Lonchura striata: one gene and its partners. The main gene of each other region encodes a partner of the protein of the gene in region 4 in a complex. Links are inferred from orthologs where the notes say so. Each region holds a gene or a part of one and is shown on either strand. Other genes may lie near its edges. The genes, in order: LAMTOR4, FLCN, LAMTOR3 and FNIP1.

Evidence for each region.
Region 1: FNIP1 (region 4) and LAMTOR4 share a complex: the UniProt entries of both Homo sapiens proteins name them as parts of the lysosomal folliculin complex. The link is inferred for Lonchura striata from reciprocal best matches to the Homo sapiens genes FNIP1 and LAMTOR4.
Region 2: FNIP1 (region 4) and FLCN share a complex: the UniProt entries of both Homo sapiens proteins name them as parts of the lysosomal folliculin complex. The link is inferred for Lonchura striata from reciprocal best matches to the Homo sapiens genes FNIP1 and FLCN.
Region 3: FNIP1 (region 4) and LAMTOR3 share a complex: the UniProt entries of both Homo sapiens proteins name them as parts of the lysosomal folliculin complex. The link is inferred for Lonchura striata from reciprocal best matches to the Homo sapiens genes FNIP1 and LAMTOR3.

What each region holds. Positions count from the first base shown.
Region 1 is NC_134636.1:1,852,929-1,860,528, forward strand, and holds the start of LAMTOR4 (ragulator complex protein LAMTOR4), read right to left. Parts: upstream 3,020-7,600; 5' UTR 2,945-3,019; coding exon 2,942-2,944; intron 1,717-2,941; coding exon 1,639-1,716; intron 641-1,638; coding exon 523-640; intron 1-522. Other genes in the region: CHD3 (chromodomain-helicase-DNA-binding protein 3), read right to left, coding at 4,602-4,702, 5,614-5,743, 7,434-7,597. UniProt on the Homo sapiens protein: As part of the Ragulator complex it is involved in amino acid sensing and activation of mTORC1, a signaling complex promoting cell growth in response to growth factors, energy levels, and amino acids.
Region 2 is NC_134618.1:15,352,399-15,359,882, reverse strand, and holds the start of FLCN (folliculin), read left to right. Parts: upstream 1-4,472; 5' UTR 4,473-4,716; intron 4,717-4,846; exon of another isoform or gene 4,847-4,916; intron 4,917-5,964; 5' UTR 5,965-5,993; coding exon 5,994-6,242; intron 6,243-7,414; coding exon 7,415-7,484. Other genes in the region: COPS3 (COP9 signalosome complex subunit 3), read left to right, coding at 57-110. UniProt on the Homo sapiens protein: Multi-functional protein, involved in both the cellular response to amino acid availability and in the regulation of glycolysis.
Region 3 is NC_134606.1:49,696,968-49,704,461, forward strand, and holds the start of LAMTOR3 (ragulator complex protein LAMTOR3), read left to right. Parts: upstream 1-4,484; 5' UTR 4,485-4,564; intron 4,565-4,669; 5' UTR 4,670-4,710; coding exon 4,711-4,719; intron 4,720-4,858; coding exon 4,859-4,893; intron 4,894-5,515; coding exon 5,516-5,574; intron 5,575-6,397; coding exon 6,398-6,531; intron 6,532-7,494. UniProt on the Homo sapiens protein: As part of the Ragulator complex it is involved in amino acid sensing and activation of mTORC1, a signaling complex promoting cell growth in response to growth factors, energy levels, and amino acids.
Region 4 is NC_134617.1:10,455,263-10,462,400, reverse strand, and holds the start of FNIP1 (folliculin-interacting protein 1), read left to right. Parts: upstream 1-4,135; 5' UTR 4,136-4,245; coding exon 4,246-4,334; intron 4,335-7,138. Other genes in the region: MEIKIN (meiosis-specific kinetochore protein), read left to right, coding at 125-171. UniProt on the Homo sapiens protein: Binding partner of the GTPase-activating protein FLCN: involved in the cellular response to amino acid availability by regulating the non-canonical mTORC1 signaling cascade controlling the MiT/TFE factors TFEB and TFE3.

The DNA of each region.
Region 1 (7,600 bases), on a different chromosome or scaffold from region 4:
CCCGTTTTGGATATTTCGGGGCCGTTTTGTGCCCGTCTTGGATATTTTGTCCCCGTTTTGGATATTTTGTCCCCGTTTTGGATATTTTGTGCCCGTTTTGGATATTTTGGGGCCGTTTTGGATATTTTGGGGCGGTTTCGTGCCCGTTTTGGATATTTTGTGCCCGTTTTGGGTATTTTGGGGCCGTTCCGTGCCCGTTTTGGATATTTTGGGGCCGTTGCGTGCCCGTTTTGGATATTTTGTCCCCGTTTTGGATATTCTGGGGCCCTTCCGTGCCCGTTTTGAGTATTTTGGGGCCGTTTCGTGCCCGTTTTGGGTATTTCGGGTCGGTTTCGTGCCCGTTTTGGATATTTCGGGGCCATTTTGTGCCCGTTTTGGATATTTTGTCCCCGTTTTGGATATTTTGTCCCCGTTTTGGATATTTCGGGGCCGTTCCGTGCCCGTTTTGGATATTTCGGGGCCGTTCCGTGCCCGTTTTGGGTATTTCGGGGCGGTTCCGTGCCTCTTTTCGTGCCAGCTCACCCGAGAGGCGGCGGAAGGGCGGCTCGTGGCCGCGGGGCAGCCGCAGCCCCAGCGCCGTGGCCACCAGGCCCTGCAGGACGGTGGCCGTGTGCTCGTCGTTCTCCAGGTCCCCCGAGGACTGCCGAAGGAAGAATTCCGCATTTGGGGAACCCCGAAAGCTTTTTGGGAGTTCTCAGGGGGAACAAAAAAAATCCCCCCCAAAAAAACCCCCAAAAAGCGGCACCGAAATGCAGCAAAATCACCCCAAAAAATGACTTGAGGACCCCCACAAAATTCCTGGGGATCCCCCCCAAAATTTCTTTTGGGAGTTCTCGCTCAAAGATCCCAAAAAAACTGGGGGACCCAGGAGGAGAAAACTCCCCAAAAATGCCCCAAAAAACCACCCCAAAAATGACCTGAGAACCACCCCCCCAAAAATTTCCCAAATTCTTGGGAATCCCCCCAAAACTTCTTGGGAATTCTCACTCCAAGATCCCCCCCCCAAAAAATTGAAGCCTCCCAGAGGGAAACAAAAATCCCCAAAAAATAACCCAAAACCCACCTGGGAACCCCCGGTTTGAAGGGACCCCTCCCCAAATTGAGGAACCCCCAAAAAAGCTTCACACCCCCCCCCCCCCCGAACTTCCCCCCCCTCCCCCAGATTTTGGCACCCTCAAATTCGAGGACCCCCCCCCCAGATTTTGCCTCCCCCCTCCCCCAACTTTTAGGGACCCCCTCCCCAGTTTTTGGGACCTCCCAGTTCCGTACCTCCCCCCATTTTTGGGACCCCAATTTTGGGACCCCTCCCCCCATTTTTTAGGGATCCCTTTCCCCAATTTTGAGACCCATTTTAGGGACCCCTCCCCCCATTTTTAGGGACACCCCCCAATTTTGGGACTCCTTCCGCCATTTTTAGGGACGACCCCCCCTCAATTTTGGGACCCCTCCCTCATTTTTAGGCCCCTCTCCCCCCATTTTTAGGGACCCCTCCCCAATTTTTGGGACCCCAATTTTAGGTCCCCCTCCCCCCATTTTTTAGGTCCCCCTCCCCAATTTCGGGACCCCAATTTTAGGTTCCCCTCCCCCCAATTTTGGGACCCCTCCCCAATTTCGGGACCCCCCGTTCCAGCCCCTCACGGCCAGCACGGCGCCGTCGCTGATCACGAGGAACCCGGCCTGGGCCGGAACCCGCTCCAGGCCCTGCGCCAGCGCCGCCTGCGGGCCGCAGACAGCGCTGTAAACCAGTATGGACCAGTACGGACCAGTATAAACCAGTACGGACCAGTATACACCGGTGTAAACCAGTACGGACCAGTATAAACTAGTGTAAACCAGTACGGACCAGTATACACCGGTGTAAACCAGTACGGACCGGTATAAACTAGTGTAAACCAGTACGGACCAGTATACACCGGTATAAACCAGTACGGACCGGTATAAACTAGTGTAAACCAGTACGGACCGGTATAAACTAGTGTAAACCAGTACGGACCAGTACACACCGGTATAAACCAGTACGGACCAGTATACACTGGTGTAAACCAGTACGGACCAGTATACACCGGTATAAACCAGTACGGACCAGTATAAACTAGTGTAAACCAGTACGGACCAGTATACACCGGTATAAACCAGTACGGACCGGTATAAACTAGTGTAAACCAGTACGGACCAGTATACACTGGTGTAAACCAGTACGGACCAGTATAAACTGGTGTAAACCAGTACGGACCAGTATACACCGGTGTAAACCAGTACGGACCGGTATAAACCGGTGTAAACCAGTACGGACCAGTATAAACCAGTACGGACCAGTATACACCGGTGTAAACCAGTATGGACCGGTATAAACTAGTGTAAACCAGTACGGACCAGTATACACCGGTATAAACCAGTACGGACCGGTATAAACTAGTGTAAACCAGTACGGACCGGTATAAACCAGTATAAACTAGTGTAAGTACGGACCAGTACACACCAGTATGGACCCGTATAAACCGGTACGGACAGCGTTAACCAGTATGGACCAGTACGGATCAGTGCAGCCCAGTATAAACCAGTACAGGCTGCTGTCATCCCAGTTCCCCCCCAGTCCATCCCAGTCCCTCCCAGTTTATCCCAGTCCCTCCCAGTTCCCTCCCAGTTCCCCCCCAGTTCCCCCCCAGTCCATCCCAGTCCCTCCCAGTTTATCCCAGTCCCTCCCAGTTCCCTCCCAGTCCCCCCCAGTCCCTCCCAGTTCCATCCCAGTCCCTCCCAGTATATCCCAGTCTGTTCCCAGTCCCCCCCAGTCCCCCCCAGTCCCTCCCAGTCCCATCCCAGTCCATCCCAATCCATCCCAGTCTGTTCCCAGTCCCCCCCAGTCCCTCCCAGTCCATCCCAGTCCATCCCAGTCCATCCCAGTCTCTCCCAGTCTCTCCCAGTTCCCCATCCCAGTTCTCACCATGGCGACGCTCCCGCTTTCCCTTCCGATCACGTGACCCGCCCTCAGTACCCGCCCCGATCCCTCATTGGTTTAGCGCTTCTCTCGTCGCCGACCCATCCACCAATCGGAGCCGGCTGCAGGATCACGTGGGCAGAGAGGCGTGGTGAACTCGCTGGTCCGGCGCACCGGAAGTGACGTCAGTTACCCAGCGCGCGGCTCTGTAGTTTCCCCCACGGAACCGGAAGTTGCGCTCGCCCCGCGCATCTCGGTGGGTCCTCCCGCGCCGGAAGTGACGTCAGTCCCCCAGCGCGCGCTCCATCGTCCCTCGCTCCTCCAGCCCCGCCCCCGCGCCCCCCAAGAAATGGGGAAATTGGGGCAAAACGGCCCAAAAAAGCTTCAAAAAAAGGGGAATTCCCCTCCACAAACCTCTCCATGGTAACCTTTGGGACAATCCCGGGTTTATTCCCCACTGCTCCGGGACAATCCCGGGTTTATTCCCCACTCCTCCGGGACAATCCCGGGTTTATTCCCCAGTCCTTTGGGACAATCCCGGGTTTATTCCCCAGTCTGGGACAATCCCGGGTTTATTCCCCAGTCCGGGACAATCCCGGGTTTATTCCCCACTGCTCCGGGACAATCCCGGGTTTATTCCCCACTCCTCCGGGACAATCCCGGGTTTATTCCCCTCGGCTCCGGGACAATCCCGGGTTTATTCCCCACTCCTCTGGGACAATCCCGGGTTTATTCCCCAGTCCTTTGGGACAATCCCGGGTTTATTCCCCTCGGCTCCGGGACAATCCCGGGTTTATTCCCCACTCCTCTGGGACAATCCCGGGTTTATTCCCCACTCCTCTGGGACAATCCCGGGTTTATTCCCCACTCCTTTGGGACAATCCCGGGTTTATTCCCCAGTCTGGGACAATCCCGGGTTTATTCCCCACTCCTTTGGGACAATCCCGGGTTTATTCCCCACTCCTTTGGGACAATCCCGGGTTTATTCCCCACTCCTCTGGGACAATCCCGGGTTTATTCCCCAGCTCCGGGACAATCCCGGGTTTATTCCCCACTGCTCCGGGATAATCCCGGGTTTATTCCCCACTCCTTTGGGACAATCCCGGGTTTATTCCCCAGTCTGGGACAATCCCGGGTTTATTCCCCAGTCCGGGACAATCCCGGGTTTATTCCCCACTCCTTTGGGACAATCCCGGGTTTATTCCCCTCGGCTCCGGGACAATCCCGGGTTTATTCCCCAGTCTGGGACAATCCCGGGTTTATTCCCCAGCTCCGGGACAATCCCGGGTTTATTCCCCAGTCCTTTGGGACAATCCCGGGTTTATTCCCCAGTCTGGGACAATCCCGGGTTTATTCCCCAGTCTGGGACAATCCCGGGTTTATTCCCCACTCCTTTGGGACAATCCCGGGTTTATTCCCCAGTCTGGGACAATCCCGGGACAGACTCGGGTTTATTCTCTGCGGTGAAACGGAGCCCGGGCGGGGGGGGAGGGCCGGGGAGCGCCCCTCCCCCCGACCCCGCTCCTATAGAATTCCAAATTCCGTATTTATAGCCCCTCCCCCCCTCCCCCACCCCCCGCCCCTCCCCCCGCCGGGCTCGGGGCCGCCCCGGGGTGGGGGTTTGGGGGGGGGAGGGGCAGGGGGGACCCCCGGCCCCTCCCCCCCCTCAGTCGTCGATGCAGATCACCTCCCCCCCCCGCGGCGGCGGCTCCTTCCGCTCCAGCGCCTCCGCCTCGCGCTTCACCAGCACCGCGGGGCCGTTCGAGGCTGGGGGGGACACGGGGGTCAGGGACCCCCACCCATGGGACCCCCACCCATGGGAACCGCCCCCGAGACCCCCACACCCACCCATGGGACCCCCACCCATGGGAACCGCCCCCGAGACCCCCACACCCACCCATGGGAACCCCACACCCACCCCGCTTCACCAGCACCGCGGGGCCGTTCGAGGCTGGGGGGACACACGGGGGTCAGGGACCCTCACCCATGGGACCCCCACCCATGGGACCCCCACCCATGGGACCCCCACCCATGGGAACCTCCCCCGAGACCCCCACACCCACCCATGGGACCCCCACCCATGGGAACCTCCCCCGAGACCCCCACACCCACCCATGGGACCCCCACCCATGGGAACCCCACCCATGGGACCCCCACCCATGGGAACCGCCCCCGAGACCCCCACACCCACCCATGGGACCCCCACCCATGGGAACCTCCCCCGAGACCCCCACACCCACCCATGGGACCCCCACCCATGGGACCCCCACCCATGGGAACCGCCCCAGAGACCCCCACCCATGGGACCCCAAGGGAACCCCCTTCTCCACCCAATGACACCCTCAGAGACCCCAGGGACCCCCCCCCCGTGTCCCATTTTGTCCCCCCCAGTGTCCCCAGTGTCCCATTTTTGGGGATCACCCAGTGTCCCCAGTCCCCCCAGTCCCCCCCAGTGTCCCCAGTCCCCCCCGGTGTCCCCCCAGTATCCACCCCAGTGTCCCCAGTCCCCCCAGTCCCCCCCGGTGTCCCCGGTGTCCCCCCGTTGTCCCCAGTCCCCCTCAGTGTCCCCAGTGTCCCCAATGTCCCCAGTCCCCCCCGGTGTCCCGTGTCCCCCCGTTGTCCCCAGTCCCCCCCGGTGTCCCCGGTGTCCCCGGTGTCCCGGTGTCCCGGTGTCTCACCGGAGATGAAGGAGCCCGGTGGCATCTGGCTGTAGTTGGCCCCCCCGGGGTGGGGCAGGGCTCCGGCTGGGGGGGTCCCAAAGGTGCCCCCGTAGCTCGGGGGGGTCGCGTAGGGCCCCGGCGGGAAGGTCTGGGGACAGCACGGGGACAGGGACAGGACAGGGGACAGGACAGGGGACAGGGACGGGGGACAGGGACAGGGACAGGGGACAGGGACAGGGACAGGGGACAGTGACAGGGGACAGGGACAGGGGACAGGGACAGGGACAGGGACAGGGACAGGGACAGGACAGGGGACAGGACAGGGGACAGGGACAGGGGACAGGGACAGGGGACAGGGACAGGGACAGGGACAGGGACAGGGACAGGGACAGGGACAGGACAGGGGACAGGGACAGGGGACAGGGACACAGGGACGGGGACAGAGGGACAGGGACAGAGGGACAGGGACAGAGGGACAGGGGACAGGGACAGGGGACAGTGACAGGGACACAGGGACAGGGGACAGTGACAGGGGTAAGTTCTGGGGTCACTGCCCAGGGTCACCCCATGGTGTCACCTCCCACTGTCACCTCCAGGGTCACCTGGGGTCACCTCCCAGTGTTACCTCCTGGTGCCACCCCCATGCTGTCACCTCCCGGGGTCACCCCATGGAGTCACCCTCCCCGTCACCTCCTAGAGCCACCACCCCACTGTCACCTCCCAGGGTCACCCCGTCACTGTCACCTCCTGGGGTCACCTGTCACCTCCTGGTGTCACCCCGTCACTGTCACCTCCTGGGGTCACCTCCTGCTGCCACCCCCACAGCCAGGGGTGTCCTCAGGACAGGCTGTCCCCAGGGTCAGGGCTGTCCCCAAGGCGTGGACAATGTCCCTGGGGCTGGGTGACAGGGGGACAATACCAATGTCCCCACGGTGGGGTGACAGGGTGACAGGGTGACAGGGTGTCAGGGTGACAGTGTGACAGGGTGACACGGGGACAATGTGACAGGGTGACAGTGTGACAGTGTGACAGGGTGTCAGGGTGACAGTGTGTCAGGGTGACAGTGTGACAGTGTGACAGGGTGACAATGTGACAGGGTGACAATGTGACAGGGTGACAGTGTCACAGGGTGTCACTCACGGGCGGGGGGTGGCTCTCGGCGCCCTTGCTGGCCAGGCGGCTGAGGATGCCGAGGTGGCAGTGTGACAGTGTGACAGTGTGACAGGGTGTCAGGGTGACAGTGTGACACAGTGACAGTGTGACAGGGTGACAGTGTGACAGGGTGACAATGTGACAGTGTGACAGGGTGTCACTCACGGGCGGGGGGTGGCTCTCGGCGCCCTTGCTGGCCAGGCGGCTGAGGATGCCGAGGTGGCAGTGTGACAGTGTGACAGGGTGACAGTGTGACAGGGTGACAGTGTGTCAGGGTGACACGGTGACAATGTGACAGGGTGACAGTGTCACTCACGGGCAGGGGGTGGCTCTCGGCGCCCTTGCTGGCCAGGCGGCTGAGGATGCCGAGGTGGCAGTGTGACAGTGTGACAGTGTGACAGGGTGACAGTGTGACACAGTGACAGTGTGACAGGGTGACAGTGTGACAGTGTGACAGTGTGACAGGGTGACAGTGTGACACAGTGACAGTGTGACAGGGTGACAGTGTGACAGTGTGACAGGGTGTCACTCACAGGCGGGGGGTGGCTCTCGGCGCCCTTGCTGGCCAGGCGGCTGAGGATGCCGAGGTGGCAGTGTGACAGTGTGACAGGGTGACAGTGTGACAGTGTGACAGGGTGTCAGGGTGACACGGTGACAATGTGACAGTGTGACAGGGTGTCACTCACGGGCGGGGGGTGGCTCTCGGCGCCCTTGCTGGCCAGGCGGCTGAGGATGCTGCGCTCCGACATCTGCAGGCGCGCGGCGATGGGCGGGATGCGCGACAGCGTGGCCGGCAGGCGCGTCACGTCCGCCTTCATGTCGCTCAGCAGCTCCTCCAGCTGGTTCAGCACTG
Region 2 (7,484 bases), on a different chromosome or scaffold from region 4:
GTCATTCTCAAGCCTGCAGACCTGTTTCTGAACAGAACTAACTCTTTCCCTTTCAGAGTATGGGCTCTCAAGAAGATGACTCAGGGACCAAACCATCCAGTTATTCTTGAAATTAATGTTGCTCACCACTCCGCTTTCAAGTAAAAGCTTACGAAAGAATCACGCCTGGAACAGGGCATTGAGGAGTTCCACAAAGAGAGCAGAGAGAACTGAGCTTTGCTTTTCACCTGGACATTAAGAAAATAAAAGAACACCCTCTCAGTACTGTATAATATCAGAAATATTCTCTGCAAAGAAAAAGGAAATCTCAAAAGAAACTTGAAAGTCTGTTGTGGATTTATTTATCTTCAGATTAACATTGTTAATGCATTAAATAATCTACCTTTTGTTTTAAAGGGTTTGAATGTTGCCGTGTTTCTGTAGCAGTCCTCCTCTTCTGCAAAAGAAAGTGTTATTCAGGGAAGAATACAAACCAGTGTTGGTTCACTTACAAGATAATTATTGGTTCATTATTCTGTATTTAAAGTTGGCTCAAAGTGCAGATTTATCATATGTGTGGTGGGGGCAGAGAGGTGGAGTTCAAGCAAATCATAATGTAGGGAATTTGCATATGCCCCATGTAGCTGGTGCTGTCTGTTAAATGAGGAAATAAGAACTGTTCTTCCAGAAAGGATGAGGATATCAACATGTCCTTGTAAGGAAGTTTGCTGCAAAGTAAGAATCATATATGGAAAACATACGTGACAGCTGTTTATGATTTTAAGTTTCTGTTGCAAAATATCTGCTAATATTATTTGCTCTTAGATGAAATTTATTAGGCCTAAACAAAAGGATATTTGGAAAACATTGGTGTTCTGGAGGATTCTAGATAGGAAGTTGTTTACACTGAAAGAAATTTAAATGTTTGTTCCTGTGCAACTGGCATGAAGGTATTCAACAGGCTGATTGTTTCTTTGGTGGAAACCTGTATTTCTGCATGGAACATAAATAGAATTCTATACAGCTCTCAAAATGCAGGATTTTATTCAGATATAATGTGTTGGAATGGTACCTGGTTTTTAATTTACTATTTTAAACTTTGAAACTTTGCTATTGGATTCTTTAAAGTGCTTCACCCCTTAAATCCAACAGGCTGTTTAATTTTCTGTCATTCTCGTGTATTTGAAGATTCTCACTGTTCAAACACCTTCCTGTCAGGCAGAAATAAACCCGTCATCAAATCAGAAAACAAGAAGCTCAACAGCCACTGCTTCCTACTGAAACACCTGGCCAGGAGCTGCTTGCTCCTGCTGCCCTGCCAGCTTTTGTCCAGGTGGGAGCTGAGCATTCCTGGCTCTTGCTGTGAGAAGTTTGTATGTATTGAGGTCACCTATGGTTGAAAATATTCCATTTGTGCTTCCAGCGCTGATACAGAAGTGTTGGTGGCAGCAGGGTGCTGCCTTCTGGTGCAGAGAGGTGTCCCAGGTTGTGGTTGGTGGTGGAGGACATTTTTAAAAAAGTATAAAATAGCAATTTAGTAGTGAACACAGTGGAGGTCCATAGTGTGAGTAGCTCATCACTTCCTGCCTGAGAGAATTCCATTGGGACAACTTTTATATCTGATCTTTAAGCAAGATCTTGGGGTTTTTCATAACTCACAAGTCTTGTAACTAGAAGAGATCTATGACTTGGAAGGTTTTTAGCCTTGTTAATCCTGCAGTGATTTTAATGCTGAACATACAGCATTTTCCCCTCTGGTCCCATGGAAGTATTAAATGAGTAATTAGTGATGCTGTGGCTTGAGCCCAAAACAGGGTGGTTGTTACAACCACATGTGGCACTCACAGAAGGGACTGCAAACAACTGACCCCAAACCCCACCCATCCAGAAATGTGCCTGCCTCAACTCTCTTTGCCAGTGGCTCCCTTGCCAGGGGAGAATGTATTGCCAGGGGAGAATGTATTCAAGATGCTGTCATGGAGTCTGAAAAAAACCAGGAATGTCCATTTTTACACTACTAGTTCCTGTTATTGAGCATGGATTTACCTGCTGAGATCTGCAGGATGGTTTTCCAGCTGTGGAATTAGAAGCAAACTAATCCATGCAGCTGGTGAATAGCTCTAGATTTTTCTCTTCTTTTTCCTTGCCCAAAGTAGATAAAATAAATCCATGCTCACATCAAAAGGATGGCAAAAATAGCTGTGTAATAGTTTAAAGTGATATATTCCATTACATATCTGATTTTTAAGAGGGCAAATGCTTTTAAAGTTAGAGAATGGCTGCGGTTCCTTTTCTGTCTGTGCTGTCAATGTCTGAATTCTGTTAGAAATTCAAAGTCAGGTCCCACCTGTAGAATCAGTAGATAAAGCATTCACCAAAAGTGCTCCAGGGAAGGGCTTTTAAGTCCTCGTTTGATAAACACACATGATCTGGCATCTGCATGTCTTGAGATAGCGCTGAAATTAAGTCAGATTTTTAATGAAGCAGCTCCTTCCAAGTCTTGGAACTAATTGCCTGGGCTGTGGTCAGCTGAGAGGCTTCGAGAACACTTGGGCTTTCTGGTTTTAATTTGTATTTACTGCAGGGAAGGACTTCTGCTGAAATCTAGGAACACTGCGTGCTGTGCTGCTCCCAACTTGGACTCTCAGAGGTCTCGTGGCTGTTCCTTCCCATCCTGCATGGTCACAAGATGTGTCCAGGGAATACTGAGTGCACGCTTTGATATCTGACTCTGATTTTGATGCATTTTAATTGGCAAAGACACAAAATGCACTTCTGAAGGCAGCATCACATGTGCAGCTGCAGTTCATAGCCACAGGAGGGGTCTCTAGGCCAGTCACGGTGAGATTTGGAAATGTTCCTAAGGAGGAATGGTTGGAAGCTGTGTCCAGCCAGCCCCCACTCCTGGTTTTGTGCCACTGAGGAGCCCCAGAGCGAGCTGTGCTGAGCCATTGCTCCGTGGTGTAACTGCAGCTGCCTCCTCCTCCACAGCTCCCTGTGTGTGCCACGGCACAGCCACAGCCCCGTGTTTGTGTTGTCACAGGCCGTCTGTATAACCTAGGAAATGTTCTCCGTGTGCCACGCTGGCCCGGGAGCTTAGTCCTGAGAAGTTGTTTAAATGTACTATTGGAAAATAAAGATAACAAACGAGTGGTTCTTAGTTTGTCTTCAATGAGATTGTAGGTCTTTTCCATTTGGGGTTTTCTTAGGTTTTTTGGGGGGATCTCTCTGTTGTGGTTGCTTTTCAGGAGGTGATTTTTGGCTGACTGGGGAGGCTGCTGGTTGCCTGCTGTGTGTGGCAGTGCCCTCTGCTCCAGAGGTGCTGAAACCCTGCTGGTGGCTTCTCAGAGCTCTGCTGAGCAATTCCAAGTAGAAATAATCTTTCTTTAGTGTCTTTCTGGAGAAGTGCTGCTGCAGGTCCTTGACTGAGATGAGCTTTGGGATTTTGGATGGAACGCATCTTCACTAGTCTAGTGAAGATGTCCCTGCCCACAGCAGGGGCTTGGCATGGGATGGTCCATGAGGTCCTTCCAACCCAAACCATTCTGGGATTTGTGTCTGAGCTCTGTATTTCTGTAACAATCCATCTTGCTGACCATCTGGCTATTGTTTTAATCAAAGACATAATTATTAGTCCATGAGTGGCTGTGCTTGGACCCAGAGGTGTGTTGTGTAGTGGTATCAGCAATAGCTGCTCTTTCTTGGGATTAAAGTACGAGTTTTACTCAGTTGAATAATCTATGCTGTTATCTACCTGAAAACTTATTCTTTTTGTTCAGATTCAGGTATTTAAAGTTCTTTAAGTGGCGACTCCAAGGGGCAGGGAGGAATCTGGTACTTTATTATTTTTGAAGGTCAATAGGTTCATATGGAATTTGGTTTAGCTTTCCATCATAGATTCTTAAGAGATAAATAATATTTTAATATTTAAATGTGATATCCTGAAGAGAAACAGGAGTTGTTTAATGGAAATAAAGAGCCTGAACAGGCTTAACTTGGGCATCTGCTCCCCTGCCCTTCCCGGGCTGTACCTGTGCAAACACTTCCACAGAGCCGCTTTATACATCGGGAAACGACAGTATTGTGAAACCTTCATCTGCCATAATCTAACATTCTGAGCACTTTAAGGAACTAACACAGACGGTGGGTGCTGAGTCTCCAATGGAGAAATCGCGCCGAGCCTGCGAGAACACGGCACCGCCCTGAGGCCGGAGAAAGTCCCGGGAAGGGGCTCTGCGACAGCCGATGGCGAAGCTCGTTAATGCGGCAGGCTCCAACCCGGCCGCGGTTTCCATCCCGGCCCCGGCTCCGGTCCCGGTCCCGGTCCCGGCCCCGGCTCCGGTCCCGGTCCCGGTCCCGGTCCCGGCCCCTCCGGGGCTCCGCCCGCGGCCACCCCGGGTCCCCTCCCAGAGCCCGCGGGTCACATGACCCACAGCGCGGCCCGTACCACCCCGCGGGGGGAGCGCCGTCCGCTCCCGGGGCGGCCCCCGCCGGTCGCTGGCTGCCGCTCGTCCCTTCCGGTGTCCCCGGTGATGGAACACCGCTGCTCCGCTCTGCGCCGTGACAGCTGGGCAGGTGTAGCGCGGGCGGGGAGGGTGCGCCTTCCAGACCTTCTTACACCCCCCTCTGAGATAATGGCTCCGCCCGGCCCCTGTGGACAGGGCGGCCCTGGGCCGAGCCACTGCAGCAGCCGGGGGGTGGCGGCTCTCCGGGCGGGACGGCCGGCTCAGTCCCGCGGTACGAACGGGCTTCTCATCTCTCTCTCTGTCTCTCTCCTACCTTGTTCTCCATCTTCTCGCTTCTCCGCGGCGGCGGCGGGCGCGCGGGCGGGGCGCTGTGTGTCCCTGCCCCCCCTCCCCCCCCCCCCGGCTGGCGGTGGGGTGGTAGGGCCGGTGGGTCAGTCGGTGTCAGGCTCGGGACGGGCCGGGGGCGCCGCGGTGAGCGGGGCGGCGGGCACGGGAGCGGGGCGGCGGGGAAGGGAGCGGGGCCGCGGTGACGGGGAGCGGGGAGCCGGACACTGCACCCGCGGGACAGGCTGGCTCCGGCAGGGCCTGAGCGTTCGGCTCCCTGGGTGCTCCGCAGCGCCCGCCCGATCCGGCCTGAGGCTCCGGCCACGGGGGATCTTCTGGTCTGAGCTCAGCCTTGATCCAGAGGAGGCCACCAAGGTGATCGGGGGGGAAGAGCACCTGGCCTTTGAGGAAAGGCTGGGAGAATTGGGATTGTTCAGCCTAGAAAGGGGAAGGCTTCGGGGTGACCTAATTGTGGCCTTCCAGTACCTAAATAGAACTTGCAGGAAAGATGGGACAAGACTATTTACAGGGGTGTGGAGTGACACGACCAGGGGGAACGGCTTCAAACCGACAGCAGGCTTAGATAGGATATTGGGAAGGAATTTGGCCTGTGAGTGTGGGGAAGCACAGGTTGTCCAGAGAAGCTGTGGCTTCTCCATCCCTGGAAGTGTCCAAGGCCAGGTTGGATGGGGCTTGGAGCAATCTGGGATAGGGGAAGGTGTCCTGTCCGTGGCAGGAGGTTGTACTGGGTTATTTCCAAGGTCACTTCCTACCCAAACCATTCTGGGATTCCCTGAACCTGTAATACTGGAGGTATCTGGGCTTGATGGATTGGTCCAGCCCCATTCACCCCCACGGGGCTTGACGTGTCCTGGATCAGCGTCCAGCATCTGGGCACGGCAGGGTGAGTTGCTGATGGGGTTGCCCATCAGCAAACAGAAGGTTGCTCCTGGATCAGTGCAATGCCTGGGGAGGTGTTGGAGTCACCATCCCTGGAGGTGTCTAAGGAAAGACTGGACACGGCACTCAGTGCTCTGGGCTGGGTGACAAGGTGGGGATCGGTTGGACTTGATGGTCCTGGAGGTCTCAGGCTGAGCTTAAGGCCAGCTGCTCCGGGTGGGGTGCAGAGCAGCAGCAAGGGCTGAGAGCTGCCCTGTATCTGTGTACTGACCGTGTGCTCTGCCCCTGGCTGCAGGAGCCTGGCGGCGGTGCTGAGCCCTCACGATGAACGCCATCGTTGCCCTGTGCCATTTCTGCGAGCTCCACGGCCCTCGCACCCTGTTCTGCACCGAGGTCCTGCACTCGCCGCTCCCGCAGGGCGCCGGCAGCGGGGACATCTCCGGGCAGAACGAGCAGGCAGAGGAGGAGGAAGGTGGGATTCAGATGAGCAGCAGGATCCGCTCGCACAGCCCGGCTGAAGGGGCCAGCGCCGACTCCAGCAGCCCAGGGCCAAAGAAATCAGACATGTGTGAGGCAAGTGGGAAAATCTGTGCGTGGGGATCTCCGTCCTTGGCTGTGCTAAAGGGCTCTGGGATTCTCTGATGTAAATTGAATTGTTTAGAGACAAATAAAAATGTGAACAGAATATGTTTTATATGTGTCAGTGCCAGAAGATGTCCAAGTCCTCATAAACTGCAAGCTAGCCCTAACTGTAATCCTGGTGATCCATGACAAGAGGATGAAGGAGCTGTTGTTGAATGCATACACCTTGACAGGACCTTGATGTCTCTTTAAGTTCTGTGATTTGTGATTCTCCTGTGGCTGAGAAATGCTTTGCTCATCCTTGAAGAACATTTATTTTGTTAGATTAGATCAGATAAATTATTAATAGTAATTTTAAGAGCAGTATTGGTTAGGAAAGAATTAAAAAGTAAAACAATAAAAACAATAGGAAAAAATTATATTCTCATTCATTCAGGGCTGTTCAGCCTGGAGAACAGAAGTTTGTGTGGAGACCTCGCAGTACCTTTCCAGTGTCTGAAGGGGCCTGCAGGGAATCCAGAGAAGGACTTTCATCAGGAACTGCAGTGATAAGACAAGGAGTAGTGTGTTGAAACTGAAAAAAGGGGAAATTTAGGTTAGATATACTAAAAAATTATTCCCTCTCAGGGTAGTGAGGCCCTGGCACAGGTTGCCCAGAGAAGCTGTGGCTGCCCCATCCTAGGAAGTGTCCAAGGCCAGGTTGCATGGGGCTTGGGAAGGTGTCCCTTCCCATGGCAGGGGGTGGAATGAGGTGCTCTTTAAGGTCCCTTCCAACCCAAACCATTCTATGATTCTCATATTTGTTTTCTATCAGTACTTCCTCTCACATATTTATTATTTACTTTCCCTTCAGTTGTGGCCAGTTTTGTTTGGCCGGTTGGTTTCTCAGCTGCTGTAACTGAACTTTACCAGCACTAAGTTCATAGTGGGCTTAAATAGTGGAAAATGAGCATAAAAGCAGAAGAAGTATATCAGAGTTTTGTGTGAGGACCTGAGTTCAAATCCTGACCCTGACTCACCTTCCTTGTCTTCTGAGTCTTTGTGTTCCTGTCTGTGTGTGTAAATAAGATTTTACGGTGCTTTGGAGGGAACAGTCAGAGCTCTTTGGAAATCTCAGATACCTGCACGCTCATTTATGGCTGGATTTGCTTTTCTGCCTTCAGGGCTGCCGCTCTCTTGCAGGAGGACACCCGGGGTACGTCAGCCACGACAAGGAAACCTCCATCAAGTACG
Region 3 (7,494 bases), on a different chromosome or scaffold from region 4:
CTGAAACAACAAAAAAAAAGTGTTGCTGTACTGAATGCCCTTACTAAGGCTATAGTAAAAGGGTTCAGATGTAATGGAAAGGCATCCAGTTGTTTGAAATATGCAATCAAAATCTATGGAGAAAACGAGATTCCCCAGATTTTGTAACTGTCCAGAATGTATTGTAATTATATCAATGAAAACAAACTATCAAAATACATCCTGGTACTCCTGTGTCTTCTTAAAAGAAGAAAGTTGTTCCAAAGGCTTTAACAAGTACTTAGACCTTCCTGTTTACAAATGAGTCTGAGCTTGCAAGTGATCTTTTAGTTAACAGGAAAAAGGATATATAACACATTTATCAAATATTGGAACTGTGAAGTCAGAGTGAACAGATGGTCTTAGCAAAGCTGCCTATAATAATTCTATGGGCTGTGTCTGCCCTTCAGCCACTTCTGGTGCAGGTGAGAAGTGGGGAAATGGATGGATGCTGAGCTGTGTCAGCTGGGTTCCATTCCTATCAGTTCTTCTGCAAGCTGGAATGATGTGCTGGCTGTGCCCTATGGCAACACAGATATCCCATAAGGTTAAAAGTGAGACCTAGACCACAACATTTCATTTGACTACCTTGCAATTAGCACTTTCTGAAAAGGAAATAATATGTTTATACTGGTGGAAGTATGCTGCTTAGCATTTAACAGATTAAATACTTGCACACTTTGAAATACGTAGTAATGTGCAAAAGGATGCTGTGATTTCCTGTGGCATAAAGATTAAGCTGCTCTAAATATGGCCTGCAAACACTCTTTTAATATTTCAAGTGGGTGTTTTTCTCCTCATGATTGTTGCTTTTTTCCTCAAGTCTGAAGGTTTGGTTTTTTTTTCCTTCAGAAATGTCAATATCTTCCCTGGATTTATTGAGGGAATCTGCTGGAAAGTACAGAATTAATTTTCTCATGAGCAAAATGCAAATTGAAGAGAGTGGAGTACTTAAATCTTTTCAGATGACCTTTCTTCAGAAGGAAAAGTTCTCATTAAAATAAGATATTGGAAAGAGAAGAGGAAAACAACACTGTTTTTGAACAGCCTGACTAAAAATCCCTCAAAATTTTAGCTACATGCTCCTTACTGTTTTTATTTAGTGATTACCTTTCATTTAATCTAGAGTTAAAGATAGCACAAGCATGGGTTCTTGGTTTTATCCTTTAAAAGGGCAGGCAGAAAAGTCCAGCAAAAAGAGAAAAATCTTGGCATGACTCTGACATAGCCTAATGAAAAAAGGAGGTGATTTGCATCTGCTGAAATATAACATCAATATGTGTTCTATTTATGGAGCATCCTGAGTCACAAGCGAGTTCAGTGTTCACATCTGATGAACATTTCCCTACAAGTTCTCTGTTTGGGTAAAACAAGTCTAAATTGGAATTTTTAACTGTTTTTTAAATGGTCTTTTTTCTTTTAACAAGTTTCCAAGAAATGGTAGAACATTACAGCGCTAAAACTGTAACAGATGAATTTAAATAGACATTAGAGACAACTTTAAATAATGAATATTTTTAATGTAATTTTGTAACAAATGCTGTGAAAGGATTTCAATGGGAGAGCAAGAATATTTTTTAAGGTTGTTTGTTCATAAATTTCATTCACCATTAAGCAGTTGTTATTCTGACTCCTTGTAGCTCTGTCAAATTGAAGAAAAGTGTAATAGTAAAAGCATTTTGTTTTTAGAAAAAGCAGGTAATACTAAATAAATTCCTAAAGCTATAATTTACTTACACAAAATGTAATGCAATAAATGTAGGAAAAAAAAGGCCATTTGTTGTGGTTTGGCCTCAGCCATGGATCAGCACCGTGCAGCCAGCTGCTCTCACCCCCACAGCGCAGTGGGAAAAATTGAACTCAGGTAAAACCTGTGGGTTGAGATGACAGCAGTTTCATCATCGAAACAAAATCAGGTATCAGTGATCAACAGCAATGAAAAGGGACACAACAAGGGAGAGAGGAATTGATGCCCAGTGCAATTGCTCACCACACTCTGACCCATGCCCTGCCTGTCCCTGTTGAGCAGTCAGCAGCTCCTGACCAACCTCCCCAGTTTATACACTGACCATGAGGGGATCCATGGAATGGAATTGCCCTTTGGCACATCCAGGTTTGCTGTCCTGGCTGTACTCCCTCCCAGCTTCTTGTTCACCTGCTCACTGCCAGAGTGTGGGAGACTGAAAAATCCTGGATTTAGAGTAAGCACTGCTCAGCAACAGCCAAAGTATCTGTGTTACCAAAATTATTCTCATACTGAATCCAAGGCACAGCACTGTACCAGCTGCTTGGAAGAAAAGTAACTCCCCTCTCCCAGCTGAAAGCAGGACACCATTATAAACTATACTTCCCATACTGCTCAGTCTGGCAGGAATTAGGTTTGAGTATTGGGCTTCTCCATGTTTTTAGAAATAATGTTAAAATACACTGTTTAGTTACAATGTTATCCTTCATGTAAGATACGCTTCTCCCTCCAGTACTGGTTTATTCCACATATAGAATGACTGTCATTGGGATGGGAGAATAAATTCCCATTAATAGTAATACAGGAGCCATCTCATAGATGCTTTTGCATAGCTTTTATTCAAAATGTGACAGGGAAATAAGTAAAATTGTTCATTGAGCATCATGGCTGCAAATAATTTTTTAAAAGTTGCATTTTTAAACATATTTAGTGTATATTAGGGAATATTTTAATAAATGAGAAGACCAAGGTTGTTCCAGGTAGCATTTTCAAAATATACCAGAAGCTCACACAATGATTTTAAGTATCTTTTAAGTATCTCTCTAATATGACCAAGTCCTTATCAAATTGCTGTGTGTGCATGGCTTGGATTAAGAAGGAGGTATGGATTCTCAGTATTCAAATAAATTTGTTCTTTTGAATTACTTTTTCCTCTTACTTGCAGAAAGTGGCTTATTTCTGTTTTGAGCTTTTTGGAAATGTCACTGGACCTATATGTGCAGAAACATTAGCAATTTCCAAGTTTTTTTTTTTTTTTTTTTTTTTAATTTACACTTTTTAAAAGTTTAATTTTATACTGGCATCTAAGCAAAATCTTCAGGTATCAACAATGCTCTAGTCCCTGTTGGTGTCCCCTCGGCTCAGTATTGGGCCCACTCCTATTCAGTATCTTTAGTGATGATCTGGATAAGGAAATTGAGTCTACCCTCGGTAAGTCCACAGTGACACCAAGTTGGGTGGCATTGTCGATCTGCTGGAGGGCAGGAGGTCTCTGCAGGGGATCTGGACTGGTTGGATCAATGGGCTGAGACCAACAGAATGAGGTTTAACAAGGCTGAGTGCTGCCCTTGGGTCACAGCAACCCCAGGCAGTGCCACAAGCAGGAGAAAGAGTGGCTGGGAAGCTGCCCAGTGGAAAAGGGCCTGGGGGTTCTGGTGACAGCAGCAGAACATGAGCCAGCTGTGCCCAGGGGGCCAAGAAGGCCAAGGGCATCCATCCTGGCCTGTATCAGCAATGGTGTGGCCAGCAGGAGCAGAGATTGTTTCCCTGTACTCGGCACTGGTGAGGCCACAGCTCAAGAGCTGTGTCCAGTTCTGGGCCCCTCACTGCAAGAAGGACATTGAGGAGCTGGAGTGTGCCCAGAGAAGGGCAGCGGAGCTGGAGAAGGGTCTGGAGCACAAGTCCTGTGAGGAGTGGTTGAGGGAGCTGGGGGTGAGTGTTCAGCCTGGAGAAGAGGCAGCTCAGGGGCACCTTACTGCTTACAGCCCCCTGACAGGAGGGTGTAGCTGGGGGGGTCGGCCTCTTCTAGCATGCAACCAGTGACAGGATGAGAGGAAATTATCTCAAGCTGTGCCAGGAGAGATTCAGGTTGGATGTTAGCAAGAAATTCTTCACAGAAAAGGTGACTAGTACTGAAACGGGCTGCCCAGTAAGGTGATGGAATCACTGCTGCTGGAGGTATTAAAGACTGGACGTGGCACTCAGGGCCATGGTCTGGTTAACCTGGTGGTGTTTAGTCATAGTCTGGACTTGATGATCTGGGATGTCTTTTCCAACTTAATTTATTCTGTGATTCCGTGCTTGGCCTGTAGCAGCTTTTTTTTTTTTTTTTTTTTTTTTAAAGAAAAATCATTGTTACATGCTGAGCAGCTTGGGGCATTTTTAGATCTACCATAAGGGTCCTGCATTCCGATAGAAGACTTTAAAAACAGATGTGCAGTTACCATTGTAACTAACTGTTACACTGTAGGCATCTACTAAATTAATCTATTTATTTCTTCACATTAGCTGTTAAATTGGCCTGCAGGCTCATGGTTTGATGGAATTGATCCAAAAGTAAGGGAAATAGGCAACAGTGGAAGAGCGGCAGTAATTTCTCGGCAGAAAAAGACGTTCGCTTTCTGTCGCTGATCTTCTTTAAGCAAAACGCTATGGCTTGTTTTGGCTTTGGTTCGTTTTGCTGCCGGGGCGGGGAGGGCGGGGACGGCCGGGAAGCGGTTCCGGGGCCGGCAGGGCGGTGCCGTGGCTCATGTGACAGCGCTCCGAGGGAAGCGGCGGCGGAGCCGTGCGGGGCGCGGGCAGGTACGGCGGGGCGGGCGGGAGCGGCCGGCCGGGCCCCGGGACGGAGCGCGGCCTCCCTCCCTCCGGCCGCCCGCGGTGACGGGGCCGCCTCGTCTTGTCTCGCAGGCCCCGGAGGCGGCGGCGGCAGCAGCGGGCGGGCCCCAGCCATGGCCGACGTGAGTGCGGCTCCGCGGGGCGGGCGGGCCGGGGCGGGCTGCTGGCGGGGCCGGGCGGTGCTTCGGGCGGGGAGGGAGCTCCGGAGTGCCCGGCCGCTCGGAGCGGCCGTGAGTAACGCGCCGCCGTCTCTGCCCGCAGGACCTGAAGCGGTTCCTGTACAAGAAGCTGCCGAGGTGAGGTGGGGCTGTGCGGGGCGGGCGGCCGGGCCCATCGGGTGCCAGCCCCCTGCCATGGCAGGGACACTTCCCACGACACCCGCTTGCTCAGAGCCCTCTCCGGCCTGGCCATGAACACTTCCAGGGGGGGGTATCCACAGCCTCCCTGGGCAGCCTGTTCCACTATCTCACCGCCACATAGTAAAGAATTTTTTCCTAATAGCTAACCTGAATTTCCTGGTTTTCAATTTGTCCTGTCACTGCAGTTTGTGATTACGAGTTCCTCTCCAGCTTCCCTATAAACCCCGTTCTGATACTGGAAGGTTGCTGTGAGGTCTCCACTCAACCTTTTCTTCTCCAGGCTGAACAGCCCCAACTTCCTCAGCCTGCCTTTGTAGGGGAAGTGCTTCAGCCTTTTCATCAACCTCATGGCTTCCTCTGCACTTGCTCCAGCAGTTCCATGTCCTTCTTATTGCTGGGGCCACCAGACCTGTACTAAACAGAACAAATACTAAATTAATGAAGGCATCAGTTTTTTTCAAAGTTCTCCCCTTCTTTGCACATTTGTTCACACAAAAAACCTTTTGTACTAATTACTGTGTTTTTAAAATTATGCATCTTCTTCCTTTTTTTTTTTCAGTGTTGAAGGACTTCATGCTATTGTGGTCTCAGATAGAGATGGTGTGCCTGTTATCAAAGGTAACTTCAGCTTCTCACTGTGCTCTGCAGCTGAAATCCTGATTGAACAGCAGAGGGTGGAGAAGTACAGAAAAGTCTTCCTGGTTATGCCAAATACCCGAATATCCCAAGTGGTAGAATTTAATTGGACTTTAAGTAAAAGTTCACTAGTTGATTATGTACCTTTTTGAACATATCCTTTTGTCTGTGCCCTCCGTAACTGTAGTCTGTGGGAGTTTTCCTCCATGACAGGGGCTGGAATGCTGTAAGGTCCTTTTAGCTTCAAGTCCCTCACAGGCTGATTGATACTAAGTAGTAGAGAGAGCTTGGCAGTATTTTGTTGGTTTCTTTGGTACTCTAGTTTTCATGTTCTGCAGTGCTTGTTTCAGATGGTTTTGGCTTGTGAGTATAATGGTTTAAGGATACAAAGATTCAAGTATTGCAGGTTTATTTTGCTCAATGCTCCAAAGTATTCAAACACCCAGCAGAACTTGCACATCTTCACCTGTCTGCAGTCAAGTGTGTGCCAGTAGTCTGTTCAAAGGTTGGAATGGGTGCAAACAGTGTGGGACATGGAACCAAAGGGGCATCAGCACAGGCTGTGCATCCTAAAGGAAAAGAGTCTTTTTCAGGTATGCAAGGAGGGATGCTGCTATAGCAAGCTATGATCATACAGAGAGCATTAAATTATGTACAGCTCGTGAAAATTGTCTGGTGTTCCTGTGGGAGCACCTCGGGCATCTTGCATGTTTCTCTGGTTTTGGCAGAGCACTGAGCTGGATGAGAGTTTGAGGTGCAGTCAGAGACACCATGTAAAGATAAGGATTTTCTTGTTTTGTTCTAGTTGCCAATGATAATGCTCCAGAACATGCACTGCGACCTGGCTTTTTGTCCACCTTTGCCCTTGCCACAGATCAGGGCAGTAAGTTAGGACTCTCTAAAAACAAAAGTATCATCTGCTATTACAATACCTACCAGGTGAGTAACCTCAGCGTGCCCTGTCCTCAGCAACTTGAGCTGTTCCTGCGTTACATTGAGCAAGAGAAAGAAGGTTGTTTAAGCTCTGGTAGATTTTCACTAGGCTGCTATTGAAGTAATTTTGGTTTATTTCTTACACAGCTTAAATGGTTAAGCCAAACTTTCACAGTATTTTTAAAACTTCTGTTATATTTCTCAAAACTTGAGATTTACTTCTTGATAGTGGGAAAGTGTAGTGGTTCTGAATTTGCAGGAGGTATTGTTCGTATGGTCTTCTGAATCTTTTATGAAGGGTTTATGTACTCTTTTAGAAACAATGTTTATAATTAGTGACACCTAACATTAATTAAAGTACATGCAGCCTACTTCATAGTTAATCTTGCTGCCAATATGGCTTTGAGATAAGAATGGTTTGAAATACCACTCACATTTTTCAGAAATAAATTATTTGTGTCCAGAAGTCTATAATCTACTACATTTCTGTTCCTTCATGAGTTCTGGTGGCCCTGAGAGCTTTTAATTATGACTGCAGTAAACTGAACAGCTGTTTAGCCTATAGTGTATCAAGCTTTGCTTGGAAATAAGTGGGTGAGTAAGACAGTTTGCCCACATCAGTACATTTCTTTGACTCTCTTGATGCTACTAGCTTACTGTTGTGCCCATGGCACCATTTCCCTGTTAATGGAAGAACAGATATTCCTGTACAGGGAACAGTATTTTAAAACAATAAACCTGTCTGCCATCCTGTTTCCTGTGGAGGGTGTGTCTCCACAATGGAATCTGCAGGGTCTGCAGCTAAGGTAGGGTTCTGGTGGACAGCAGTCTGTAGAACATGGAGACAGAGGGAATGGCCAGATTTTCCATGTGCAGCTCCCTGTACTGTAGTGTAAGGTCTGTTTGTGTTTCTAACCATGAATCTTAAGAAACGGGTACACTAAAAAGTCACCTCTGTGGCTCTTGCTC
Region 4 (7,138 bases):
ATGCTAGCATTGGATATATCTAGTGAACATCTGAACAGCTGGTCAGATCATTGAGCTTTCTTTTACTTGTGAGAATGTACCACTTTATTGATAGTTATTTATCACTTTTTTTTTTTTCTCCCAGATACTATAACAAGTACCAAAAATTGGATCTACTGTAAACAGAGATGAGATTTTTGGCTCTCAGCAGGAGTTAACAGAAGAAATGACTGTCTTGCTACTGTGACAGGGTGGTAAAACAGAACTCCTAACTAGTAAATAATAGTTATATGGTTTTTGTATGAATGTTGTTTGAAATTTAATATTACATGTTTCTATAAGCTAGTAAATACTCAAATACTTTATATTAAATTGTTTTGTTCAGCAGCTAGATCCTGCTCTGGGCATTGTTCTGTAAGATTCCATAGAGATGATTCTTCAATTTGTTTAGATTTTTAAAAAGTTTGACTGAAGAACAGGAGACCAAATTCCTTTAATTAATTACTTTTGGCTCTTTCTGCCAAGATTTCTAGTTTTCTCTAGTAGCATTAGCATCAAAAGATGGAACCTCTGTTTAAGTGTTAACATTGACTATGAAGGTCAGTGTTAACATGGAGTCCTGGGAGTGGCCATGAAAGCATTCATGCACTCTCGGAGACCCAGAAGTCAATAGTATGGCACCATTAAACTCCTTGAGTGCTTAAGTCTGCAGAACTTTGGAGGTACGGGACTGTGAGTTCTGCTGTAATTTGATTTCTGAACATGACTACAGGTCATCTTCACCCCATCATCACTGAGAATTGTCTCTTAATGATCAGCACTGTCACCATTCAGGGCACATCCACTGCCCAGCCACTGCCACCACAGAGTCCTTCCTGTTTCATCTCAGGTATTTTGTAAGATCACATCTCTTAGTCATTCTCTCTTCTAGTGGCTTCAGACTTAAGAGAAAGTAAATGCCTTACATGAAGACAATGGTGGGAAAAACCCTTTTATAGCTGAACTGTTTGAAGAGATGGATATTGACATTCTGGATTTTCAGGTTACTTCTCACACTGTGTCCACATAAGTTAGACTCCCTGTGCTTCCTGTTCAGGTTGTGGATTGTTAATTCATAAATGTTGTTCTTAATGTGCTGAATGTCTCGGAAAAAACAGTCAAGAACAATTTTTTTCCACTTGAATTCATTGCACATTAAAGTAATTTGGACCCCTACAGTGTTCTCACTACAATATCCTTTACTTAGACTCTATCTGGATGAAAAGAAAATTTTTCAATGTTTCAAAATGCTAGTATGGCTTTCAAAAGTCTGAGTTTGTTTCTCAGTGTTATCACCCTGGAAAATAGTTCTGTATTTCCTAAAAGAGAATTAAAAGAAGACATACAAAATCCATAACTGTAGTTTGACTGCATTTGAAAATACCTGTGAAAGTTCAAACTCTGATCTTTTGCCCATTGCTCTGGGGTAGAAGGAAGTGCAAATAATTGCTGCTGGATTAGTCTGCGAACAAGTATTATATAAACATTCTAAATGGCTCAAGGTTAGAAATTATGCCATTAAGCTATTTTTCTTTTAAGCATTAATAGAATGAGTTCTGCCAGTAACTCCTTGGAGTCCTGTCGGGTATGCTTTTAATTATCAATATCCTTGTTCTTGCAAATACTATCACTAGTAATTATGCAATAATCTAGGGCCCCTAGGAGATGGAGGTGAGCTCCTTGATGTAGCTTTAAGCAAAATTGAAAGTTACATATTTAGTAAGTTTACTTGAATAATCATCATAATGCTTATGATGTAATCATCATAATGCTTATGATGATTATTCAAGTAAAAGATGGTCCAGAATAAAGATATGTTTATTGTAATGGTATTCTGGAAGTCATAGGAAAAAACACTTATTTTGCCCCAGGGCATTTGGTAGTGTTATACAAAGAGACTAATACTGGCAAACTAATTGGAAAGTGCAAGAGAGGAAAACATGGTCTGTAACTGTGGAATTGGCTGTAGCAGCATGAATATTGCTGGGGTTTGCCTTTGTTTTTCTTGATGTGATGAGGTTGTATAGGAGGACAGAAATATCACGAACCACAATCTCTTGTCCTTCCCTTCAGTTATGAAAGCACTGCTTCTTATCATCTTTTGTCTGACTCTTAGAGAAAGTGTAATTAATTACCAGCCTAGCTTTTTGCCCCAGGGAAGGAAATTCATTTTGACGCTGCAACAATCCCTACTCTATTCTCAAAGGAAAGGCATTTTCCCATAGTTTGGTTTTCAGCTGAAAAATTACTACATAAAATTTCATTCAGAGTGGGAACTAGCTCTTCCATATTGGTAGATAAAGGTTATGGGTCATGGCCAGTTAATGGGCAGGACTGAGGAGGTTATTTGTGCAGTGATTCAGGAGAAGAATCTGTTCAGTGTCACCAGGGCTTTTCTGTCACATCCCAGACATGATGAAGTCTTAATGGCTGGAATGGAATTGCTTCCAGCGAGTCAGTCCATGCAAGAACTCTGATAATCCTGTATCAGCAGGAATTGTGCATGGCAGATGCATGTTGAGTAAATGTATTATACATAAATCTGTAAGAGGTTTTTCATTAACAATGTTCAGTTATTCTTGTTATCTGAAGTGCACTTTTAAGAGACTTTGACTCCAAGTACTCAGAGATGGTGGGAGATGTGTCTTGTACTGGAGTACTACAAGGGGGGTACATGAACAGGTCAGTGGAGGGTAAAGCCTTACATGCAGATGTTTCTGGTTTGGTTCATAATCTTTAGACACAGAAAAGATGTCTGGGCCCAGATCAAAATATGCTGAATGTATACATAAGTACACTTATATTTAAAGGGACTCCATCAGCTTGAATTGCAATGCACTTGAGCTTAGTGACATCTTCATTGCTCTAAGTTGTGAAACTGCTGAGAGCTGAGTTACATACTCTGGCCATTATTCTATAGTTTTGTTCCCTGAGGACTTTCTATCTTTGAGACTGTATTTATGTGCTCCTCTTGAAGCCAGGAGGCTTCTACATGGTGAAAAGATGTAAAGATTCATCATGTGTAATCTGTGGCAGCCACATGTGTCTTCTGTACAGAATAAGGGGGGAAAAGATGCATCTAAACATTAATTCCTGTTTTGTGGTAGAATTGTCTACAACTCCTGGTAGATGGAAAACGAAGTTCCTACAGATGGATGATTGTGAAGAATCATTCTGTAGATACATTACACGTGCTAAATTATGCCTTAAAAAGAATAATGCTTAATTTAATCTTACATCACATGTTGTTTAATTCCATTTTCCGGGGAAAGCAGATGAGTCAGTCAGTTTTGTCAGTCCTTAATTAAACTTCCTAGCAGGATTGTATCTGAACAGTGAGACACTGAAGGAGACTGTTTCTATTTCATTTAGGTATTACTAATAGTTTTGTAAAAAGGCATGGATCCTTTTGATTTTAAAAAACCTATCACACTTTTTTTTTTTTTTTAATTTGTTTTGGAGTCAGTTGCTAGGCTTTATGTCCTAAATACTCTTTTGTGGATGGATGTTTTACCTGTTAATGATGGCTTTCTCTGCCATCAACTACACGCGTTCCACCTTCCCTGTAGGTTTTGACTCCAGTGCGTCTGAGCTGAGCGGTTCTGCTCCAGCTGTGGGAGAATCGCTTCTTGTACCTGGGAGGAGAGCGGGAAGGAGCTGGGTTTTCGAGGCTTGGGGTAAAAACGTCACCTTTCTCTGGTTCACCCCTGCACGCCGAGTCCCGAAGGCGCTGGGTACAGCCACGAGAAGGATCTGATGCCTCGATCGTGACCTCTCGCCTTCCTGGAGCTCCTGCCTTTAACTTCCGTCCGAAGAAGGAAAACACAACAGCGGCGTGTTATCGCCGCCCCCGGGGCATTCCTTGGCCCTGCCCCCAGCTGAGCCCGGCCGGGAGCGGGCGCTTTTCCCGCAGACGCTGCGGCCGGAGGAGCCGCCGGGGCGGGGAGCGGGAGGAGCTCCGCACTGCCCCCGGCTCGGCGGGGTCTGCCGGGCTCCGCTCTGCACTCGGGGCCGCCCCACGGGGCCCGCCCCGCCCGCCGGCCGGCCCCCGCTCCCTCCGTCCCTCCCCTCGCTCCCTCCTCCCCTCCTGGCAGCGCCGGGTGACTAATTTCTGTCATATGACTGTGACACCGAATGGAGCGGGGCGGGCGGAACTAGCCGCGGCGAAGGGACGGCGCTGCGCGGAGCCCAGCGCCTCGGCGGCGGGGGCAGCGGCAGCGCCCCAAAATGCCGCCCACCCTCTTCCAGAAGCTCTTCAACAAGAAGCACGGCCTGATCTCCCCGGCCAGGGACGCCCGCGACGACTGTGTCTTCAGGTAACCGGGACGGGGTCGCGCTCCTACCCTGCCCCAAACTTCTCCGAGTTCTCCGCTCCCTCCGCCGCCCGGCGGACGCGGGGGCTGGCAGACCCTTCCCTGCCCCATCTGCAGCTCCTGGGCGACGTGCCCCGTTCCCCCCCCAGCCCCGGGGGATCCGTCCCCCGTCCTCCGCGGGAGCCCCGGGCCGCCCCGGCCGGGCCCCTCCGGCGGGCGCGGGGCGGGCGCCCCCGGGACCGCCACGTCGGGGCCGCCGCGGTGCCTCGCTCGGCTGCCCCCCCGGCCGCCGCTCCCCGCGCCGGGCCGTGCCTCACCCCCACCCGCGGCTGCCTCCCCTTCCCCGCCGTGTCCGAGGCCCCGCGGGCCCCTCCGGGGATGCTGCGGGCCGGTCCCCAGGAAGCAGCCCCAGGAGCGGGGAGAGAACGTGAAGTTTTGGCGAAGAGAGGAGTGGGGCTTGTGGTGAAATTCGTCATGCCCTGAGCGCAGCAGCAGCGCTGGCTCGGCCGAGCGAGGCCAGGCTGAGCGCGGGGAGCGGGGCAGGGGCCCGGGCAGCCCGGGGGCTGTGGGGCCGGCCCGGGCGGAGGCTGGTTCGATGCGCTGCGGGCCTGGGCTCGCTGGGGCTTCGCGGGCTGCTTTGCTCGGAAACAGGTAGCTTTTGTGCTGACCCACGCGTGAATAATGGTCAGGCTCGAAAGCGATGCCGTGTCTGCGTCCTGGCAAAGACAGAACCTTCAATATCGCCTTAAAGTGCGGTTTGCCATTTGGATGGAAATAAAATCTGCTTCATTAGTAAGAGTTACGGGCTTCTTGAAGCACTTCTAACAGTGTGGTGAAGCTCTCCTCCCACCCGCTGCCTTGAAATTTACTGCATACAAATGATCAGCCCTTGGGTTGCTCTGTAAAGGGACATTTCTGACTGATGGGCTTAATTTTCTGTGGTGGAATACACCTTTCAGCTGCAGTATTTAGCAGTTTAGATGGATAACAGTGTATTTGCAGTTACCTAACTACAGAGGTTTTCAAAAAATATTGGTTGGACTATATGAGTCCTTAAGGAGTCAAGACATGCTCCTGGTTGTTACGTGGAGCTCACACTACTTTTGAAGACACTGATGCGTAACTGCTTTCACACCTCTCTGATATTCACCATGGAGTGAATCCTTTTTTAAAATTATTTTTTCTAAGAAACAAAACGTTTGAAGGATGTCAATGTCATCTTATTTTCCAAATCATGTTAATACTGGACCAGAGCCCTTGGTGGGGAAGGGGTACTAAGACTGCTCTTAGTACCTTTTGCTTTGCCTTAGTGATGGGTTTGTTTAGAGACTGGTGGTTCATGCAACAGCTGCAGTGCAGACCTGGGGCAGAAATGTGGGACTCACACCCGTGTTGAAAGGAAAGTGAGTACTTGGCAAGGTCTGTGCTTCCCTCGTCACCTGTATCCTTCTGTGCCAAACTGGGTCTGAAATTTGTAGTGCTGTTTCACTTTGTGATATGAATTGTCAACTGGTAACTGGTGAATTTGCAGTTGGGTTTTTTTTGTGGAACCACAGGTAGAATTTGCAGGGAAAGGCTGATGAGGCTCTGGGGAGGGTGGGAGATCCAGCTCTGACTTAGGAGAGTCAAGTAGTATTTTTAAAGATTAATACATATTTCTCTAGGCACATTGCCTAATGGCTGCTTTCATTTTACAAATGAGGCTTAAGTTTGTAGCTAAGATCACAACTTGTTAGGATTATCAATTCCTGATGAAACTTTCAGGTGGTACACAAAATAAGGACTGATACTTGACAGCTGAGTCTTTGGAGACTGGAAATAAGCACTTTCGACTGTTGCTGGTTCCAGTGAACCTGAATGCACCAACCTCATCAATTTCATTGGGGCAAGGTGATGTTTTATGGATTGATACATTATATCTATTTACAGTCTAAATAACACAGCATTTCCCAAATATTCTGAGCGCTGTTATTTCTGTCTGTCTTCACTTTGAAAACACAACTCTCTTATTCAGAAAACCCATAAAAATGCATAATTCTCTTATTATATTTTGTGAATAATATGTACTTGGAGAGAAGAGCCCAATTACTCTGGCAATGACATTACTATAGCAGAACATTTAAGAATGATTTTGCCACTCTTTTTTTTTTTTTACTATCAATGTATTTTACATTTCCATCAGTCTTATTGTGAAAATTCATCAGTTCTATTTATCTGACCTTACACTGTTTCAAAAATAAAACAGTACTTTTCAGGAGACACATTTTGTTTAGTTGTTGATTTGTGGGTAGGTTTGTGGTGGGTTTTAATTTTTTTTCCTTTTATTTTTTTTTCTTTTTTTTTTTTTAATTTCCGGCCAAAGATCTCTCTCTGTGCTGTGGGTGTGTGAAATTTTGTGAGCCTATGTCTAGCCAGACTCTGTATAACTCTTTGTGACTAGGTTCTGGAGAAGTTAAGAGGTTTAGTAATGGGAACAGTAAATTAGCAACTGGAAAATATTTGCTAAGGTGACAGTTTGCCATTTTTGTAATTTTAAACATATATATCTATATGTATGCAGTTTATTTTACAGAAGGAACTTTAGGAAATCACAGTAGATCCACTGCTTGTTAGTTTTTTATCTCTTCCATTTAATCCTGGGCAATTGGCAGATTGGGCCCTTAGACTGAAATCTCTTACTACAGCTTGACATTCACATGTTGAGCAAGAATATTCAAATTTTAGTGGTAAAATCTCTTTACAAGAAACACAGAAACACCTGCAAGCATTCTAGGAGGGAACAGTTAAGCCCTTATATTCCAAGATGT